5 linked regions of the Danio rerio genome follow. The protein of the gene in region 3 purifies or fractionates together with the protein of the main gene of each other region. This does not show direct contact. Links are inferred from orthologs where the notes say so. Each region holds a gene or a part of one and is shown on either strand. Other genes may lie near its edges. The genes, in order: rmp64, pop4, rpp30, pop7 and rpp40.

Region 1 (4,459 bases), on a different chromosome or scaffold from region 3:
TTAAGTGTTTCTGCACATAAGAGCAAGTAATAAAATATAGCCTATATTTCAATTTGCTCAACAGCTATTCATTAATAAAGCACTACATTAAAAATTTCATTATATGTTTTCTTTCCCTTATTTATTTATTTAATTTGTTTGCCGCATGTACTCGTGTTGAGTGCCATCGAAAATCTAGTGTAGTGACGGCATGCCATCTTTAACAGACTCGGGCTAAGTCTGCCCCAAAGCCCTAGCTGGTCCAATTTGGCCCAAGTTATTCGGCTGAAAAAGGCCAGATGCTGGCCCAGAGAAAGCCCCGCTTTGGCCTGATCAGGCTCCGGAAGTGACAGTGAAAACGTGACTGGCCTTGGCTCGCTTTAGGTGAGATAGTGGAAACACGGCTATTGTGTCATTACTTTGACCTTACCTCTGAAATTTGTTTGGACACACTTCCTTCAGATCTTCCACCGCTGCTTGTAACTTCATCTCTTTTAAACGGTTTACACATTGCTCAACCTGCAGATCATGTAAATCTGATAAGTATTTTATCATGAACAAGAAAAAATGATGCAGTATTATTTGTAACATCTGTAACTATGAGTAAAAAGGCAAGCAGGGTTGTAAGCATCACAATGTGGCTACATTTTTTTCATACATTAAACTGCGTCTGGGCAAAGCAGTGGCGCAGTAGGTAGTGCTGTCGCCTCACAGCAAGAAGGTCGCTGGTTCAAGCCTCGGCTCAGTTGGCGTTTCTGTGTGGAGTTTGCATGTTCTCCCTGCGTTCGCGTAGGTTTCCTCCGGGTGCTCCGGTTTCCGCCACAGTCCAAAGACATGCGGTACAGGTGAATTGGGTAGGCTAAATTGTCCGTAAAGTATGAGTGTGTGTGTGTGTGCGTGTGTGTGTGCGTGTGTGTGTGTGTGTGTGTGTGTGTGTGTGTGTGTGTGTGTGTGTGTGTGTTTGTGAATGTTTCCCAGAGATGGGTTGCGGCTGGAAGGGCATCCGCTGTGTAAAAACTTGCTGGATAAGTTGGCGGATCATTCCGCTGTGGCGACCCCGGATTAATAAAGGGACTAAGCCGACAAGAAAATGATTGAATGAATGAATTGCGTCTGTTCATCTGTGAAATATAAATAACTACACTATTATCATGATATGCAGAACAGATCACCTGAAATATTTAATGTAACAATAGTATAATTTACCAGAACATCTTGTCATTCATGACTAAAGCAATAATCATTGATATTAAAATTAAAATACTTTAAGGACAACAGTGCAGTCCCAAGATACAACCTTCAAACTTTTTACACATTTGTCAGCAAAATGTTTTTTTAATTAATTAAACATTTTTAAAGAGGTAGAGGTCAAAATAAGAATTGTTGAATGTTTGCACACAAACACAATGAAACATTATTTCACCCATATTTTAATATTTTAACAAGTTATTAAAATAGACACTACTTTTATTTTGAATTTATTTTTCTTTCTATATAAAATCCAATCTGCAAATGGTTAACTAGATTAGGATACCAAAAATGTGAAATTTAGTTTTTGACCTGTGTGTGTGTGTATTACAGGACTGGCTCTCACCTGCTTTAATGCACGGAATGGCTTGTGTTGTCTGAAGCCATTGTTCAAAATGTAAAGCAGTTCGTACAGCACACGGATTTCTGTCTGAAGAACTTCACTACATAACAGGGTCAACACTTTCTCACAGTCAGCCAGCAAGCAATCAATCAAGAGATCTAGACAGAAAAGAAAAGTGTCTGACTGCACATGTATTATACATGTAACACATATAATAAGGCACTTAAAATAAGTTAGAACGAGACACTTCAGGCAAAAACAAACACATATACACACAGCAACAGCATTTATTTCCTGCACCTGTAAATATTCTTTATTTTTGTCTAACGGAAGGAAAATATCAAAAACAGTTCAGATTACAGATTAATGCAAAATGTTTGAGTATTAAAATGCATAAATTTATTTTTTAAGTCAAACAGAAAGAAAATATCCAGAGCACATATTAATACATAACATATGTGTATTAAAATTGATACAATTATTTATTTTTAGTTTAATTACTAACCATTTTGTATAATTTACATGTTGGGTGTATTATATATTTTATTAAAATGCATTGGTAAGGACGAAATCTGGGCAACTTTAAAAGTCAATTTCTTAATATTTAGATTTTTTTTCATAGTTAAATGTCTGACAAATATTGTCCGATCCAAACAAAGCACTGGGAAACTTTTAGTTAATTTTTTTCAAATGATGAGCTTCATTAAAAATTGACCCATATTTTTCTGATCTTGTGGTTCAGGGTCACAGAAAATATTAGAAAACGTGTAATGACAAAAAATATTTGAAATGCTTAATGTAAATCAATCAACTGCTTGACCTTTTTTTAACCACATGATAAACATTATAAACTGGTGCAGATGCATTACAGAATGTAACATTGTTATCTATCGTACGAAGAAATTGTTTATATAAAACAAAACAACAGCCTGAACTAACAATAGTAAATATATATTTTGCTGATCGAAGCAACTATCTAAATGTCATGAGTTAAATGTTTTATTAAAAGTGTTTCACGTGAATCTTGCGGATCCACGTGTTCTCGTCAAGCGCTAAAACACTCTACTCTGTGAATTTATTTGAGCGATGTGTGTGTGGTTTCAATTTTATAAAAAATGTAGTAATACCGATATTTTAAAACATCGAAACATACCTATCGAATCCGTAAATGGGATTCGAGTCGAAGAGACAGCACTTGGAAACGGAATGTTTATTTTATTCCAGCACTCCTGCGCCATGTTTACAGCTGACTGCCGGGGAGAGAAAACCAGCCAATCATATGCTTGTGTGTGCGAATACGTCATAGTGCATAAAGGTACAAGCACACCATTCTTGTGCGCTTACCAAAACAAGTCGTTAGAAGCCACTGTGAACTTTCTTATTCTTGCTGGGAAATTTTACTTTCACAAACAGAGGTTCCTTAAAAAAATCCAATCTTTATAGACTTCCTGTGTGAAATAGAACATTTATTTAAATCTCTTAGATTAACTGAAAATAAGAAAAGTGCTTCTTACTTGAGCAAATATGATGTGATCATGCTACTTGAATATTTATCTCTTTTTTATTGCGCTGTCTTTTAACTTTTTACGTTTTTTATTATTATTTTTTATGTAATGTGTTTTGGTTTTGCTCTTTATCTTGTGTATGTAATGTGATTAATGTGTTAAAGAACTGTTATCTTTTACTGTATTCTAAATTGTATTATACAGTTTCTTTAAGTTTATAAAAAAAAAAAAAAACAACATTCTTTTGCGCTTTTGAAATAATAGATGGCGATATAGTTTGGAAACAGTTTTGGCTTCTTCGGGGGAAAAAAATATATCTAATAAAGCTGTCGAAGTCTCAATCCAAGTCATTCTTAATTGCTACCATATAAATACCAAACTAGCTAAATTCAATAAGAATATTTCCCCTAAATGCTCAATTTGTTCTCAATACGAGTAAACTTCAAATCACTAAATCATTTATTTTGAGAGTGTATATAAAGTGTTTTGAGTTGACTTTTCCAATTTCATTAAAAAATCTTGTTTCCAAACGTTTTTATTTCCCCAAAAAAATTATTCTTCGTTTACTCTCTGAACTTAGATCCTTCTTATAGCAAATTTAAAACTTTTTTATTTTCAGAAAGGACTTTTATATTTATATGTTAACTCCTTTAATTATTCTAGCAATTATATTGCTTGTAAAACTCTTTCTTGGTGTAAATCACTTAAACTTGTTAAGTTTAATTAACAATAATTTTTGTAAACGTTCTTTCTTGCATTGAACAAAAAAAAAAAAATCTTTTGCGCATTTTGCCCTGTCCATTTGCTTAAAAATGTTGAAGAAGACTTTTCCAAAGTGCATTATTGCAAGCTTATTATATGTTTTTTTGTTTAAGGTAATAAGTAAATGAACAACTGTTCTCTAAAACATGCATTTATGAAGAGTTATACATTCTTAAATCATCTAAATAAACAAATCCAACGACTTATTAGCTGAAGAACTCCATTCTCAAATCCTAAAATATGGAAATAAAATTTATATTCATTCTTAAATAGTTAAAAAGATGACTTTGAAAATAAAAGCTTTGTTCTTTATTTGTAATGTTCTCTTAACCAGTTCTTATACTTAAAGACACATTTATTTGAGAATAAATTGCATACAAGTCTTAAAGTTTCTGTATTATTATATTAAATTTACACTATAATATAATACAATACAAAACAGTATTATACTGTTTTGGCTTTTATATAATTTCCCAATGCAAATAAAATGTGTATAATGATTATAACCACAATTAACTATGTTAGAAAAATTAAATTAACAAACAAACAATATATTTGTTTAAAGCATTATAATCTTTATTATTATTTTAAAAATACATCCAGAAATGGATCATCTATTTAT
Region 2 (4,225 bases), on a different chromosome or scaffold from region 3:
TGAGGTTCTCCATACGCCCAAAATATCCCCCTTACATGGAAATTCTGGAAATACAGCAGCTGAACTACAAAATGTGCCTTTGTGGGTTGACATTTCCAAATGTGCATGACGGCGTACCTGTTAATATAGCACCATGGAAATCAGCTTTCAAGAGCTTCTGCTGGATCACCTGTGGGTTGCTGTATTCAGAAGACACAAGCAAGCAGCACATTCAGGGAGTGTAAGCAAGACTGGAAATGAAATATCCACAAGCCTAAAACTCTGAAGAGCATCTTCCTTATACCTTCCTGGTTTCAATCCATTGCACAGATCCTCAATATAGCTTTTCCACAGCTTATGCAGAGGTAAGAAGAGTTCATATCTACAATCAGAATCATACAATAAGCAGAACTTTTAAACACAATACATTTCTATAAGTGTAAGAATCAAGCTATAATGAAACCTCCAACACCCACTTTTGATGTTCAGGCTTAAGCTGGAATATTTGCAGCCGTCTTCTTTCTTTGGCATTCAGTCCCTTGGCTTTTACCTTCTTCACCTTTTTCTTTGGTCTTTTATATTCCAGGACCACTGCCTTGCGTGCCATCATATCCTCGATAGCTGCGTCTTTCATATGGGGAATGCTATTCTTGACAAATGCTTTTGTGAAAGCCTCTGCATCTGTGCCATGTTGAGACTGTAAAAAGCCACATTCCACAGTTCACTGGTTTGCAAAATTTCTGTACATCATACAGTGTGAATTTATCAGCATTAGTCAGTCCCTCTGGGATGTTGTAATGCTGCGACTGATAACAGATTTAACACAATTAATTTAACACAAAATCAAGCAAAATTCAAAGGAGCTTGCAAAATTAAAAAGAAAAGCAGAAGCACTGCATATTTTGGACAGCCTTTAAACAAGAGAGAGGAAGTTCTAATTCTTTACTACTACAGTTCTTTATTACTACGGCCTCAAGTGCGTAGTATACTTAGAAAGAGCTTGATTAGCTGGTTCATGTGTGTTTAATTGGGGTTAGAACAAAAATATGCAGAAACCGGCCCTCCAGAACTGAATTTGGACACCCCTGGCCTACAGTATATGTAAACACTGAGAATGAGTAAAGGGGGTCACTCACCAGAAGTGCCGCGCCATGTAGCGCCATGCATTTTATAATTCTAAACATAGGTTTCTATTAGATTAGGTATGCACACCAGTGTCGCAAGTCGGGGGCTGTCAGCAGCGCCCACCTATGACTCAGGACACTGAATAGCATGCGAACGTGCGCATCTGGTGTGCGATACTTTCCACTGCCATGTGCGCACGGTGTTGCGCCACATCCGGTGTATGACGCCCTTTAGAAAGAAAAAGTTTTTCTTTTGATTAAGCAGCATTATCTGAGTAAATACTGCAATTTACTACACTTTTTATTTAAATGAACAAAAATGTACATAAACAGAGTTCAGATGCAAAAAGTGTTGCGTAGTCTGAAATTTTCCTCTCTAAAATGTGCATTTTTCTCAGCCTCCTATGTTTAAGTAGAGTTATTTCACTTTAAAAGGCAATGACAATAACTTATTCTTTCAACACAGAGTAAAATTACTGAAACTACACACAACAGCCTGAGAAAAATGCTCATTTTAGATGAAAATTTCTGATAGCACCTAAGAGGTTTTTGCATTTAAACTCTTCAATTGTTCCTCTCTACAAGTGTGTTTACATGGACACCAATAATCTGATTTCAATAAGATTAAGACAATACTCAGATTAAGAGTCTACCATATAAACAGCAATTTTTTAATTCACTTAATCAAATTATGGTCATAACAGTGCTAAACAGAAATCGAATTAAAACATGTGGATAACGCTGATTTAGTAGCATTATTGAAGTGCAGAACATACATGTAAACACTCAAATCAAACTATTACTGTCATGTAGGACTTTCTGTATATTTTCTATTCTCTACACCTATAGAGTCAGTGAAGAACCAGCTTCATGCATGCTTCATACATGAACGTAGACTTTAAGGCGAAAAATGTTTAATTAAACACCCAAAGAGACATGAAACTAGAGAAAATGTGGAAAGTGTGGTGATGCAATGATGTTTATCGAATTATGTGCTATAAAACGAAAAGAAGAAAAAAACGGGATCATGAAAGGAACATTCAGAAAAGCAACTCATATAAACACCATCATATTATTATTATTTTCAGATTAGGGGAGTTAATTTGATTACTGATATACATGCTAACGTAGTCTATGCTTCCTTTATATAAAGAGCCAAATCTGAGGTCAAAAATATACAAATATAAATAAAAATAGAAATATTTTAAGTGGTAGTTGTTTATTTCATAAGTAATACAACACATCTTTATAGTAGGCTAAATAAAAAAGAAAAATAAAGAAACTTAAACCTCAAGAGACATACTAAATATAAAAGTTATATATGCCAAGTAACACTGTACATTATTTTTACTAAATGCAAACTGACACACTTCTTTACAGCATAATGTATGCAATAACAGATGGTTAATAAATAAAGCTGATTAAATGCGGTGTCTAACTGCGAGTAAACTGGTAAATGATGGTTAACAATACTGAACATACATCACCTCAACTCCCAAAAGATGACTTTGATCTGAGGGGATTTCTGACTGCAGCACACCTGTGAAAAATATAACGTTAGCATACATAAAATTACGACAGACCATCCTCTTGTAATGAGTAGAATAAAATTTCACAGAAAAACAGTATCGATAAACTGCAAAACAAACACATTCAGCAACCCAACATTAAAATGATCATGACAAAAGTAAAACCAATTTAACACTAACGTTCCATAGCTCAAAAGCTGAAGACACCGGAATTAAAACACTCCCGCTGTAGAAAAAACGTGCTGCCAAAACAGATGAGCTGATCTTCTTCTTCTTCTTTCGTGTTTTACCTTGCATTCTTCATGTTGCACTACTGCCATCTTCTGTTTTTTATACGTCATAACACCTTTGCTTTAAAATTCTTTAAAGGGGATGCAATATCATTTCATGCATGATCCAGTGTGGAGCACAGTCTATGGTTGAGCATTGGTCAAGTTTAAAATATATGTATAAACACAGAGCGTTTCCACATTACCACAGTCTCCAAGGAAAATACCAACGTTTTGCTCATTGGTATCCCAGCATATTTTTTAAATTACACAATAGGCTATCTTATATAATTATATCAATATCATTATTTATGTAAACAAATAAAGTACAAAAAACTTAATAAACATTGTATATCTAATAATAGGCTATTGCATGACTAACATACTTAAAAAACTTAAATGTTAAAATGTTCGATAAACCTACATGTAGACAATAAAAGTAACAGACATACAATAAAAATAACATAGCCTACATACAAATATTGATTAAGTTCATGTCTGTAATAACAAAACATATATATATATATATATATATATATATATATATATATATATATATATATATATATATATATATATATATATATATATATATATATATATATATAAAATATATGATTAAACCCAGAGAAAGATCCCTCTTTTAAATGAATATTTTCTAGGATGCTATTATATTTGTGCATATAAATTACTCACCAAAGCCATACCTGGAGCTTTGCAAAATAATTTAAAAGAAGCTCCAAAAATTATTACACCCAAATAAAAATGTTAGGAAAAATATTAAATGCATTTTTAATAAAGAGGGAAAATCAGGAGAAACAAAAAATATATATATTTACATTTGAGTTAAAATTGTATTTAGTAAATTTAGTTTTTGCAATATTGTTGGAGTTGGAGGTTTCATGGCTAGATTTGACCAGCCTGGCTGGTAAGCTGAATTGTGTCCAAAAAAAAGTAAAACCTGAGCTGCCCAACTCAGTCGGATTAATGTTTGAGCATGTTGGATGATTCAGCATGGCCGTCGACTGAAGAGAGTGCTCTGACTGGGGCTCTAGAATGTGAAGTAGCAAGTAAACAAATCAAGCCAAGAAGAAACACAAAGAGGTCAGCTTTAATTGCACTATGTTTCTATTTTTTTTTTTTTTTTTTTGCAAACAATATAAATAATTTGATTATCAGACATATTTGCAGGAGCTGATCCCTCAGTGGTGAGTGACTATTACTGTGATGGTACTAAATACTGTGCTATGGAAGTTCTGGGTTTGCTGTTCAGAAACAGGAAACCGATACTGCTGACTGTGGTGTTTGGTGTGTTCATGGGCAG
Region 3 (4,173 bases):
ATAATTGTGTTTATTTTACATGAACAGATGATGTTCACTAAACATGATTTAAATCTTTCTATTTAACTTAAATGAATGCTTTTTTTGTTGAACTTCAAATAGTCATGTTAAATGAACACATATATTTTAAGCTGGTTTAACATCATACAATGTGGTTAAGATCATTTAGTGTAATTACATAAAGCCCCTGTCCAAAATTAAATCATGCTCAGCCAAAGAGCTATTTTTTGAGTGTGACGTATATTATTTACTGACAACAACTACAGTAATATACCAAATACCAGTTTATCTGTCCAAAACTGCTAAAGGTGATAATACACAGGGCAACCTTTAAAGCAGTGTTGCTGAGCGATGTTGCTTGGCTATTTTGTCATTGAGAATGGCCAACAAAACTGTATCTGAATCCATTAAATCAGTTGTCTGCAATATTTTGAAATCCTCTAATCAGAATGCCAGGAGCGAATCATGTTAGAGCCTTTGACCTGTCAGAACAACTCAAACGAAGTGGCAGCCGCTCTGTGGCGATGGAGACAATGGCTTTGAAACAGTGAATACATTTGCAAAGCTATAGGATTATTTGTTTCAAAGCTTTGTTTATTTCATCTCTACTTTACTATCCCTTAAACCATATCATCGGCACAATGTGAAAAGTTGCTTTTAACATAAGAGGCATTTGAAAAAGTTGTTTAAATGTTTATGCTTTATGAAATTCCGCTAGGTGACCATGTACATAGGTATAGATATGGATAAAATGCAATAACTCACCCCATTAACTGGAGCCCTTTTAAAATGGAAGGGCTGTTTTTCCGTCACTGCAATGCAGATAATGTCAACATCAAAAGTCATGCAGGCTGCCTGGCTCAGGTGAGGGAAAAGACAAAGAAAATGTTAATACCACAATAGATTATATGTTTGATAATCAAAATGTATTTTATATATATATATATATATATATATATATATATATATATATATATATATATATATATATATATATATATATATATATAAATATAAATCAAAAATGATAAACTAATTACCCATTATCCAAAATGTAAAGGGTTAGTTCACTAGGGTTAGGCACTTTTTATTATGGATGATGCACTTTATTGGAATTCTTTTGGACTGCTGATAATCAGCTGACATTTACCATTGCAGAGCTGGAAATCCTACATTTTTAAATAACTTCAATTGAATTTGAGTGAAAGGTAAGGCATATAAGATGCCGTGTGGGTGAGTAACTCATTTTCATTTTAGGGTGAACTAAACCTCAACTAAAACTAAAACACAATGTAGAATTGAAACTACACTTACATGAAAGAGCTTTTCAGTTTTGGGGTACACCGCCACAAGGTCAAATTTTTTGTATTCATTAGTAGGTCTCTAAGGAGAATAACACAAACAGTCTCACCATATAATACTGCAGTATATAATACAATATAATGTGTATAATACTTTAGCACAAATTATATTAGAGTTTACGAAGTATAAACTTACAAAATGTGATGCATCAGATGCCACAATGGTCAATCGATTTAGCACTTTGATTGGAGAAGATTTGCCCTATAACAGAAGAAAAAAATTAATTAAAAAGAACACATCATTGTTAATTATCTCGGAAGATATGTTTAAGCTAATTACCTGGACAACTGGAAATTTATCAAATAAGTCTGAAATACTCTGTGGGTTAGGAATTTCCTGTAAAACAAGAAAATAAGAGCATCATACAAACACACACACACGCACGCACAACTCGATAATGCAGTTTAGTTTAACTCCTCTATATTGTACCTGTTTCTTCTGTAGTGGCTCAACTACATAGTTTATTGCAACCGTTGAGTAGCCAACTGAAAATACAGCAAAAAGTATATGAGCATTAGGGGTTTCTCTAAAAGTACAGCATAATCTATGCATTTCTTAGTCTAACTAATCAAAGTTAGCCATCGCCATTACGTACTGGTTATCCTGCTAGGAGCAGTAGACAGCTGGTAAATAGTAATAATCAGCTAATTATGAAAAGTTGAAATACGTTTTCAATTACTAACAACTTTTGATACAAGATTCAACGTAAAAAGGAAATATCAATAAACACTGTATGAACAATTAATAACGTTTCATACTTCGCTTACACACGTGAACACTAACGTTAGAGAATACAACTGTTATTGCGCCGCATTATAGATATAGTCGGAGATTGAGGTAAAGTTGGTTTTATATTCACACATTCGTTCAGTGACATAAATTGCATACACTTCACAAACTGTGAACAATGCTGTACTTTGATAGTTGTTGACTGCTAATATGATTTTACCATTTACAATGAATACTTTTCTGAAACTATATTATTAATGAGAAAGACTGAATGTGCGAATATAAAACCAACTTTCAATTAGTCGGAGCTGGGAATTTCAGCAATGAAACGTCTGACCTCCAAGAGCTGAGAACAGAATAATTAGTGACGTTTTCCTCATCGTTTGACAGATTATCCGTTTAATGTGCCTAATGTGATTTGCTTGTGTCTGTAATATATCCGACATCCTACTCCAAAGCACTGTTCAAACGGCGTTCTACGCGTTATTTTTAAGTCATGTTAGGGGGAAACCAATCCAAATTGTCTGGATCGTAACTGTACTGCTACTTACGGTGAGCAGCTGTCTCTATGATGTGTTTCAGTCTGTTCTTATCACTACTATTGATGATGTTTAAATCCATAAACACAGACATCTTTCTCCTATTGATGGGATTCGGGAAAAGTGTTCACTGGTAAGTTCATATAAGAATACACCGTTTCAACTACTGAACACACACATCCATGGTACAGAGAACCACATGGTAAAATATGATCTCCTTCGTTTGGTGTTTTTTAAGACTGATAGTAAGCAAATGATAGGTACATTACCGTCACCTACTGGACTGGAGTGAGAGCATTAATGGAATAGAAAGTACAAAATCACAAAAAAACTAATTCCTGGTAAACAGACTTATTATTTTAAAACTGTGTAATTTAAACCACAAAAATACGTTGATTTCTCAAACAAGTTCGATCACAAGATAAAGCGTCAACCTATAACTGAGCCTTGTGGGCTAGTTCCGTTTTACTTTTCCTTACATTAGTTTCGACCGTCCTGTCAGTCAACCAGAACCACAGTATATTTTACTTCCTGTTGGAGGTGGAGCTACGTCTGTAGCGTGCTCTCCAATTGGTCGGATTTAAACAGAAGGAGAACCGCGACCACTGGAAAGAAGCATGTAAGCGATGTAAACGGGATAAACAAAAGGAAATAATAACAATAAGGGAAAAGTAAGTGAAATTATCTGAAATGAAAACACACAGGGAATCGTTTTACATTGTTTCATGCTATTAAACAATGTTGATTAGTTTAATGCGATACGAATAAGGTTAACATGTTTTACGAAAGCTAGTTTTAACGCGTTCGGCAACGTTAGTAAGTTATGAGTCGTTGTTCCATTTGTCGCCACCTAACGTAACGTTAAATACATCTTTATTATTACGCAATAACTTTCTTTATTTAAACGTCAAACTTCTTTACAGGTTTGATCAAGATGATGGAATCGTGTTTAAATCACAAGCCTGACCGTGTCGACTCTATAACGGTTGAAGACCTCCGAAAAGATCTTTTCTCCGAGTTCTCCAAATTATCCAGGGTATTTATTATCTCATCTTCTAAAGCAGTCGAATCCGATTTTTGGCCGAAGCTAACATTTCCTGGTGTACATTTCTCTTTCTAACAGGACTCGGTGTCGCTTGAAAAAGAGCATTTGCAGGTCTATCTCCGCGTACGTCCGTTCACCTCAACAGAGAGAGCTGAAGGAGAATCACAGGTGCTTGCACATTTTTGACAAATCTTTGAAAATATTAAGTTATAAGACTTTTCCCCATGTTCATGTTTAAAACCCCTTATTATAACTTTTAAAAACATGTTAAGTTGAATAGCGACGTCATTTATATTTTCCCTTTTGTTGTTTTTGGAACAACATGAGAAATGGTGACATTTATTTATTTGTTTATTTGTTTGTTTGTTTGACAGATTATCCACTTAATTCCCCTTATGTAATATGTTATTATGTGTGTAACTTCATCCAACAGGATTGTATCTCCATTGAGCCTCCAGATACTGTGATTCTGAAGGCACCAAAAGCATCTCTGACTGC
Region 4 (3,200 bases), on a different chromosome or scaffold from region 3:
CGTTTAGCATTTGAATTCAAGTAAATAAATCTGATTATATCAGAAACGTGGTTTACAAAGGTAGTTTAATGTTTAGCAAATAAAACAAGAAAAGAAAGAAAACACACAATAACATGCAAAACAGTAAATTATTCATTCATTCATTTTCTTTTCGGATTAGTCCCTTTATTAATTTGGGGTCGCCACAGCGGAATGAAGCGGGATGTCCTTCTAGCTGCAACACAACACTGGGAAAATAGTAAGTTATATAATTTTACATTGAAAATGATACATTAATTATACATTATACATTAAAAATAACAGTTACGCTAATATTTCTCACAGAGGACTGATATCGAACATCTTTAGGTCTAGGATTTGTCAACAACATATTGTTATGTATGTTCTCCAGCTGACAAATAAATTCATACATCACATTTGTCATTAAAGCAGGGAATGGTTGTACTCTTGCCTAACAGAATAATAAAAAAATGAAGCACAATCCTCATAGTCATTTTACACAACCTGCAGCTTAAGGAGACTCTTTCAGCTAAACGTAAAACCACAAAAGAGCTGTATAAAAACAATTACAATTTGCTCTAAAGGGACTTATCTTAACCTGTTATTAATACATAACGTTCTCTCACCTACATATTTGCTTGAGCATACAACTCACGACGTTGCCTGTACATATCATCATTATCTCTTATTTTATTGTTAACGATAAAGATATGCCCTGGATGTTTTACAATTTTTAATACATTTAAAAAGTGATATGATAATAAAAATCATAAAACTGTCTTCTTTGTTTTTACATATCACACAAACAGTTAAAAATACACATTTTATTTTTCAGATATCAGATAATGTAAAATTACTCAACACACCAGTGCCCAGTTGAGTTGGGTCTTTTCTTCTCCTCTGCAGCCTCTCTCGTAGTGAATCCAGCTGCTTTTTGTGCGCCTGGATGTGACTCCATGTGTCCGACATGGCTTAAATTAAACGAGCTAAACAGCAAATAAACAAACAGTACTGATTAAACAGGGGTTTTATGAAGTTTAGATTACATCTAGCAAACTAACGCTGAGTGACTGTACCACCATACACACCGTGCCGCTAAACTGTTTCTATTTTCAAAATAAGAGACACTAACTATATTTACTGATTAGCAACGATCTCGTTCATACAGGTACTTTTATATTTTTACGTATTTTAACTCATATATATTTTTAATTAGGATTCAATTATAACTATTTGATATACGAAATAAAAATAGATATTTCCCCACCAAGAAAAGAACAGTATGTATTTTGTAATCACATAGTGTATTACTTCCAGTGTACGCAAGACGTCTTCCGGAATGAGAGATAAGACAGATCTGTAAATAAGCAGATTCTTTATCTACCAGGAATTAAGCGCGGATCTGAAACAAGCTCTTCTAATTCAAGGTACTACTCTTACTCAAAATCCCAAATTATACATCAAACATTATATATTAAAATCTATATCCACTAACTTAAGTGGCAATGAATTGGAAATGTTTGTGTAAATGAGAACCTGCTTCGTAAACAAAATGTTTCTCGAATGTGATGTGGATGTAATATCTTATTTAATATACAGCGTTATACCCTGAAATATAATGCACGCCCAGTGTATATAGCCATTCACGAATGGATGATTCATATGAGTCGGTTCATTGTGGGGAATCGTTTAAATACATGTCGTTAAAATATAATTCACACATCATTTATATGTAAAATTGTTACGAGTCTTATCTTTAAAACGCGAATTAATGTTCTGTTTGTGCAGCACCTTTCAGGTGATTCGACATGGCTGAGCCACGAAGCCCGGTGTCCGCTTCTGTGCCCCACAATCCAATAGTCCTGGCTGCCCCCGAGGGCTCGACCCTTGAGATGGACCCAATAGAGTTCACCCTCCGCAAGCGACTGCCTCGCAAACTGCCCAAACGGAGGAACGACGTCTATGTCAACATGAAGACTGACTTCAAGGCTCAGCTAGCGAGGTGTCAGAAACTTCTGGACGCTCACAGGGAAATCTGCATCCACGGCCTGGGACTGGCCATCAACCGGGCTATAAACATCGCTCTGCAGCTCCAGACGTCCAGCCAGGGCGCCCTGCAACTCGCCGCAAACACCTCCACGGTGGAGCTCATCGACGACCTGGAGCCTGAAGATCCGGACGAGGCCGGAGAGCATCTGACCCGTACCCGGAATAACTCGGCCATCCATATCAAGGTGTTTTACCCCAATCCGTAGTTTCAGCTTCAGTGTCAATATAATGAATGAGGGCTTCATGAACAATTGTATGACGTTAGTGGCATGTAGAAGTTTTTTAAAGTGATGCATTATTTATGATTTTTTTCTGCTTCAAGACTTTTTTTTTAATTAATTGCTGTGTTATTGAATGTTTTATTTGAAAAACAAGAAAGAAATGTGCCATATGTATTTTTTTCTACTATGTATTTGTGTTCTTGTGTATAGTAAACTTAAATGGAAAGTAAACAGCTTAAATGCAAAGTAAACAGCCCCACCAACACTTTGTTGATTGTATCTTCCTGCATGTGTATGCATATTAAGACAACAATATATTTTAGATATTATTATTATTAATTTTATAAAAGGGATAGTTCACCCAAAACTGAAAATTCTCTCATAATTTTCTTCATCCCTTTACCTGTCAGAAACTTGTTTGAGTTTTTGTTTCTGTTGAACAAGAAATAAGAAGAAAATTTACAAAACTGTGACCATTGACTTCCATAGTGTTTGATTTCTACTTTGGAAGTCGATAGTTACAACATTATAACATTTTTCAAAATATCTTCTTTAATGTTCAACAGAAAGAGGAATCTCATAAAGGTATGAAACCAAGTGATTGTGAGTAAATTTTCACTTTTGGGTGAACTGTCCTATTAATAAGAATATAATGATGGCAAACCAGTATATAATAAAGGTAAAAAAAAAAAATAAATAAAAATAAAAATAAATAAATAAATATATATATATATATATATATATATATATATATATATATATATATATATATATATATACATACATACATACACACACACACACACACATTTAAACATTTTCATCAAATCTATCTTAGTTTTAATAGGAAAAATAAATGCATTTTAATAATTAATTAATAGCCTTGCCAGTACCATGTTAGGCTCCCTTTTGGCTTAAAAAAGGCATCGA
Region 5 (4,341 bases), on a different chromosome or scaffold from region 3:
ACTCTTTTTTTATTAATATACGAAAATGAGAATATAATCACAGTATGTTAACAAGAAATCGAAGAGACAAAAAGAGCAACAATTTTGGAATAAGAAACAACAACAGATAACAAAAAAAAAAACAGGAGGGGTAAATACATTACAAGTTAAAGAAAAAGATTATATAATTTACAAATTTCAGTTGTTTTTAAAGCCTTTTTTGTAAAAGAGTTAGACACTGTTTCAAAGTAATACTGCATTTCAGTAAGCAAAATATAAAAAAAAGGTTTTTGGTTTGAAAATTTACATTTATGGATATAAAATTTTGTTAATAAGACAAGAAGATTAAGAAAATATTTTTTCTTTTTATGTAAAGTCCCCGTTCCATAATCAACAAAACCAAATAAAACATTCTCCCACAGCAAGGAAAATTCCTCATCAACATTCTCAATTATAAAAAGTGAGAAGTCTTTCCAAAGCAACCTAGTGTAATTGCATTGCCAAAATAAGTGAACCAGGGACTCAGGGTGCTGCCCACAAAATGAACAATTAATATTAAGATCTTTTTTATATCGTACTAAAAGAGTATTGACTGGGTATGTACGGTGAATAATTCTGAATGAAACTTCTTTTATCTTATTTGTAATTAAGTAGTTATTTGGGGTGAGCCATATTTTTCTCCAATCAATATCCGAAACAAAAGAATTCCAATAAAAAGTAACATTTGGAACTGATACAGTTCCATTATAAAAAACGTATTGTTTTGTTTGAAGAAGTTGCAGAGAAACAACATTTTCCAATCATTGTAGTAGAAGGGTCTAAAAGAGGTAAAACAGAAGGATAGGGGATGCCTTGGAATAATCTAATAACACCAGATGGTATAGCATCAAATACCACAGCAAATTCTTTAGGGGGGATGGGTATATTGAATCGATTAAGAAATTCGTTATAATTTAATAAATGGCCATTTGAGTTAAATAATTGACTAACAAGCAGAATATTTGCTTCAAACCAGCGCTGAAAGAAAAGAGATTTGTTTTTATATACAATCTTTAGGTTGTTCCAAATAAAATATTTGTGAGGAGAAAAGTTGTGCTTGTATAATAGTGACCAGGCAAGAAGAAATTGTTTATGAAATTGAGATAATTTAGCTGGTATTTTCTCAACATTATAGTTACAGAGTAATAAGAAATTAAGCCCTCCAAATTTAGAAAATATGTAATTTGGAATAAAATTCCAGATTGAGGTTGGATTTTTGAGAAAAATTTTCCCCATTTAATTTTGATAGTATTATTAAATGTACAAAAATCCAGCATATTAAGACCCCCATTCTCAAAGCTATTCATAATTACCGATTTTTTTATATAATGGATACAATTTTTTCCAAATAAAATTAAATAATATTTTATCAGTTATATTATTTTATCGTTTTCAAAGACTCGCGAACTGCTGCTCGAGTTCTGCTGACAGCAGGAACTGACGTCAAACCTTTGCGACAGGCGAAGTTGCCACTATTTTGAAACATTAAACAGGCGCGCCGATGCAGTTTAGTGTAATAAACTCGTTTCTTTATTTCGCTGCTTGATGTAACAACAATGTAAGTATTTTGTACAGATATTAAAATGTCGCCAGAGCTGGAAAAGTGCCCGAGAAACCTGCTGGTGTGCGAGAAATCAAACTTCTTGAATGAAAAGTCTCGGCATGACATCCACGTGTCGAAGCACAGCTTTAACTACAAGGCAAGTTTCAACACGAGACATGTGCTCAGCATAGCGACTTTGATTGTAAACATTGACCGTGATGGTTTACTAAGGGAATGCGTTTCCCGCAGACCTCAGTGCTGATTCCTGAATGCGGGATCCTGCCTGCTAACATCAGCAGTGCCTTCAGCAGCTTCAGCCCTTATTATTTAGTGCGGGACCTGCCTGTATATGAACTGCTGGAAGAAACATTTCTGGAGTCGCTCGTGAAGAAAGGTTCAAGAAATGTCCATTGCTAACGTTTTTGTGTAATACGCTACATAACACGAGCTAAAGACGTATACAGCATTGGTTCATTTCAGATTGTTTCAATGTGTATTAATCCAGAGCTGTTTGTTCACACTAATACTAATAATTAGAATAATAATACACACATTAGTCACATACTGTATATAGAACACAACATATAGAAACATTGCATGCATTGTACAACAATCACAAACAACAAGACTAAAAGTCTTGCAAGTGAGATTGTGAGCAATAAGATGATGGCAGCTGGACTAAACAGTCTTAAACAGTTGTGACTTGTAAGCTTGTGAACTAACATGAGCAAAAACAAAAGGTAGCTATTTTATGTTTACTAACATTAAAGTTAACAATGCTGAAAAAGAATTATTTCTTATTTTTAGCTAAAGTGTTTATGTGAATGTAAGAATCTGTTACTGATTTTTATTTATTCATTTATTTTTACACAGGACATTTCTATGCACTCTCTTACAACACCAAAATTGATGAAGATAATTCCATTGCACTTCTTTCCAGTGGTAAGACATGCACTTGTGCTGTGATTCTAACAAAGCTGCTTTATTTTATTGAACTGAGTTAATCAGGTTAATTCATTCAGTACTTTAAATGACTTTAAATTTGTCTTGCAAAGAAAACCAATAATATGACAACAAGATGACATTCAGACAACATAATATTTTATCTTTATAATTTAATGGAAAGAAATAGTTTTAAGAAGTTAAAGATAATAAAATAAAAATGTAAAATCTGCACTCATCTGCATGAAAAGAATAAATAAAATCTTTCAAACAGAACAAACGAAAAATGTTGAGTACAACAATATCAATTTCTGTAACAGTTTTTAGGCTATATTTTTTTTCGAACAAACCTCCGTTATACAATAACTTGCCTAATTACCCTAACCTACCTAGTTAACCTAATTAACCTAGTTAAGCCTTTAGATGTCACTTAAAGATGTATAGAAGTGTCGTGAAAAATATCTAGTCAAATATTACTTACTTTCATCATGGCAAAGATAAAAAAAATCAGTTATTAGAGATCAGTTATTAAAACTATTGTGTTTAGAAATGTGTTGGGAAAAAAACGGGGAAAAAAATAAACAGGGGTTGAATAATTCTGACATCAACTATATATATATATATATATATATATATATATATATATATATATATATATATATATATATATATATATATATATATAAGCCAGTGATGTTCTGTAATCCAAGCACTGCGTTTATTATTAATAAACAACTCTATAATACACGCTTTTGCTTATTTGTGGCATTCTGAGATTTTTTATTCTTATCTGAGCATCTTTTTCCACTTTATGTCACTTTTTATTGATTATATTGAAATTGAAATGCATTACTTATCAATTAAACACTGTCAAGTGGTTTCAAACTTTGCATTTGTTGAAGACAAAAGAAAAACTTTTTTTTTAAATGCCTGAAACTGGTAGCCAGTGATAGGAGAAATAAATGCGCTAGAAGGCAATGATTACAAGTCGTCAACATTGTTTATAATATCTTTATTCATGTTCAGTAGAAGAAATAAACTGAAACGGGTTTGGAACAAGTGAAAGCTGAATGATGACAAGAGAAAACAGAATTGTCATTTTAGGGTGAACTGTAACTTAACAGTACCATATATTGCTGGTATTGTGCAAAATCAACAGGCCAAAAACATACATATTCCCTAAAATAAGTAATTGTTTTTTTATTTAAACAAATAAATATATTAATGATGTATTGACCTTATTCCTCAATGCAGAAGTGTGCTTGTTTTTGGGATTGTTTTAGAACTTCCGATTCAGTTGCCAATGGTAGAAATTGTCATTTTTGGGTGAACTGTAACTTTACAGTACCATATATTGCTGGTATTCAACAAAAAAATCAACAATGTAAATCAACAGGCTGAATATACATAATCCCTAAAATAATTCATTGTTTTTTTTTTATAAAAAAAAAAAAAATAATGGTTTATTGACCTTATTCCTCAATGCAGAAGTGTGCTCGTTTTTGGGATTGTTTTAGAACATCCGATTCAGTTGCCAATGGTAGAAATTACTACGAATAATAAATGACAAAAAACAGTCAAACTACATGCTCTACAAACAAGTGTGTTCATGACTATGCTGACAAAGCAGAATAATATAATAAGACAATATCAGTGTTCAACATTAAGCAGCAGAATGTTGTTTAAAGTCAATGGAAGTGATTGAGGCCCGAAGTTTCGAGCCAAAAAGACGGCACCCCCTTGTACACGAAAAATAAGGTGAATATGCACAGCTAGTGTTTTTTAACCCCCAATAAATGCCTAGTGAAGGCTATATGTGACTGTTTTAAATTTCATAC

The links.
Region 1: the proteins of rpp30 (region 3) and rmp64 purify together in Homo sapiens (affinity purification with mass spectrometry; 3 studies listed by BioGRID and IntAct, counting the BioPlex papers as one, with this or other methods). This does not show direct contact. The link is inferred for Danio rerio from reciprocal best matches to the Homo sapiens genes RPP30 and RMP64.
Region 2: the proteins of rpp30 (region 3) and pop4 purify together in Homo sapiens (affinity purification with mass spectrometry; 4 studies listed by BioGRID and IntAct, counting the BioPlex papers as one, with this or other methods). This does not show direct contact. The link is inferred for Danio rerio from reciprocal best matches to the Homo sapiens genes RPP30 and POP4.
Region 4: the proteins of rpp30 (region 3) and pop7 purify together in Homo sapiens (co-immunoprecipitation; 4 studies listed by BioGRID and IntAct, counting the BioPlex papers as one, with this or other methods). This does not show direct contact. The link is inferred for Danio rerio from reciprocal best matches to the Homo sapiens genes RPP30 and POP7.
Region 5: the proteins of rpp30 (region 3) and rpp40 purify together in Homo sapiens (affinity purification with mass spectrometry; 3 studies listed by BioGRID and IntAct, counting the BioPlex papers as one, with this or other methods). This does not show direct contact. The link is inferred for Danio rerio from reciprocal best matches to the Homo sapiens genes RPP30 and RPP40.

Annotation. Positions count from the first base shown.
Region 1 is NC_133184.1:29,061,482-29,065,940, forward strand, and holds the start of rmp64 (nucleolus and neural progenitor protein), read right to left. Parts: upstream 2,833-4,459; 5' UTR 2,809-2,832; coding exon 2,724-2,808; intron 1,729-2,723; coding exon 1,574-1,728; intron 499-1,573; coding exon 410-498; intron 1-409. Other genes in the region: tex30 (testis-expressed protein 30), read right to left, coding at 2,974-3,018. UniProt on the Homo sapiens protein: May play a role in cortex development as part of the Notch signaling pathway. Downstream of Notch may repress the expression of proneural genes and inhibit neuronal differentiation thereby maintaining neural progenitors.
Region 2 is NC_133182.1:47,660,964-47,665,188, reverse strand, and holds the start of pop4 (ribonuclease P protein subunit p29), read right to left. Parts: upstream 2,904-4,225; 5' UTR 2,820-2,903; coding exon of another isoform or gene 2,813-2,819; intron 2,644-2,812; coding exon of another isoform or gene 2,591-2,643; 5' UTR 2,586-2,590; intron 677-2,585; coding exon of another isoform or gene 614-676; coding exon 456-613; intron 362-455; coding exon 284-361; intron 180-283; coding exon 118-179; intron 1-117. UniProt on the Homo sapiens protein: Component of ribonuclease P, a ribonucleoprotein complex that generates mature tRNA molecules by cleaving their 5'-ends.
Region 3 is NC_133187.1:18,040,513-18,044,685, forward strand, and holds the start of rpp30 (ribonuclease P protein subunit p30), read right to left. Parts: upstream 2,809-4,173; 5' UTR 2,725-2,808; coding exon 2,643-2,724; exon of another isoform or gene 1,958-2,642; intron 1,848-1,957; coding exon 1,792-1,847; intron 1,699-1,791; coding exon 1,642-1,698; intron 1,564-1,641; coding exon 1,498-1,563; intron 1,384-1,497; coding exon 1,315-1,383; intron 856-1,314; coding exon 766-855; intron 1-765. Other genes in the region: kif20bb (kinesin-like protein KIF20B), read left to right, coding at 3,565-3,666, 3,754-3,843, 4,109-4,173. UniProt on the Homo sapiens protein: Component of ribonuclease P, a ribonucleoprotein complex that generates mature tRNA molecules by cleaving their 5'-ends. Also a component of the MRP ribonuclease complex, which cleaves pre-rRNA sequences.
Region 4 is NC_133182.1:21,870,848-21,874,047, forward strand, and holds pop7 (ribonuclease P protein subunit p20), read left to right. Parts: upstream 1-1,353; 5' UTR 1,354-1,427; intron 1,428-1,788; 5' UTR 1,789-1,808; coding exon 1,809-2,255; 3' UTR 2,256-2,521; downstream 2,522-3,200. Other genes in the region: N(6)-adenosine-methyltransferase subunit METTL3, read right to left, coding at 867-969. UniProt on the Homo sapiens protein: Component of ribonuclease P, a ribonucleoprotein complex that generates mature tRNA molecules by cleaving their 5'-ends. Also a component of the MRP ribonuclease complex, which cleaves pre-rRNA sequences.
Region 5 is NC_133177.1:26,940,918-26,945,258, forward strand, and holds the start of rpp40 (ribonuclease P protein subunit p40), read left to right. Parts: upstream 1-1,532; 5' UTR 1,533-1,601; coding exon 1,602-1,718; intron 1,719-1,810; coding exon 1,811-1,955; intron 1,956-2,434; coding exon 2,435-2,503; intron 2,504-4,341. UniProt on the Homo sapiens protein: Component of ribonuclease P, a ribonucleoprotein complex that generates mature tRNA molecules by cleaving their 5'-ends. Also a component of the MRP ribonuclease complex, which cleaves pre-rRNA sequences.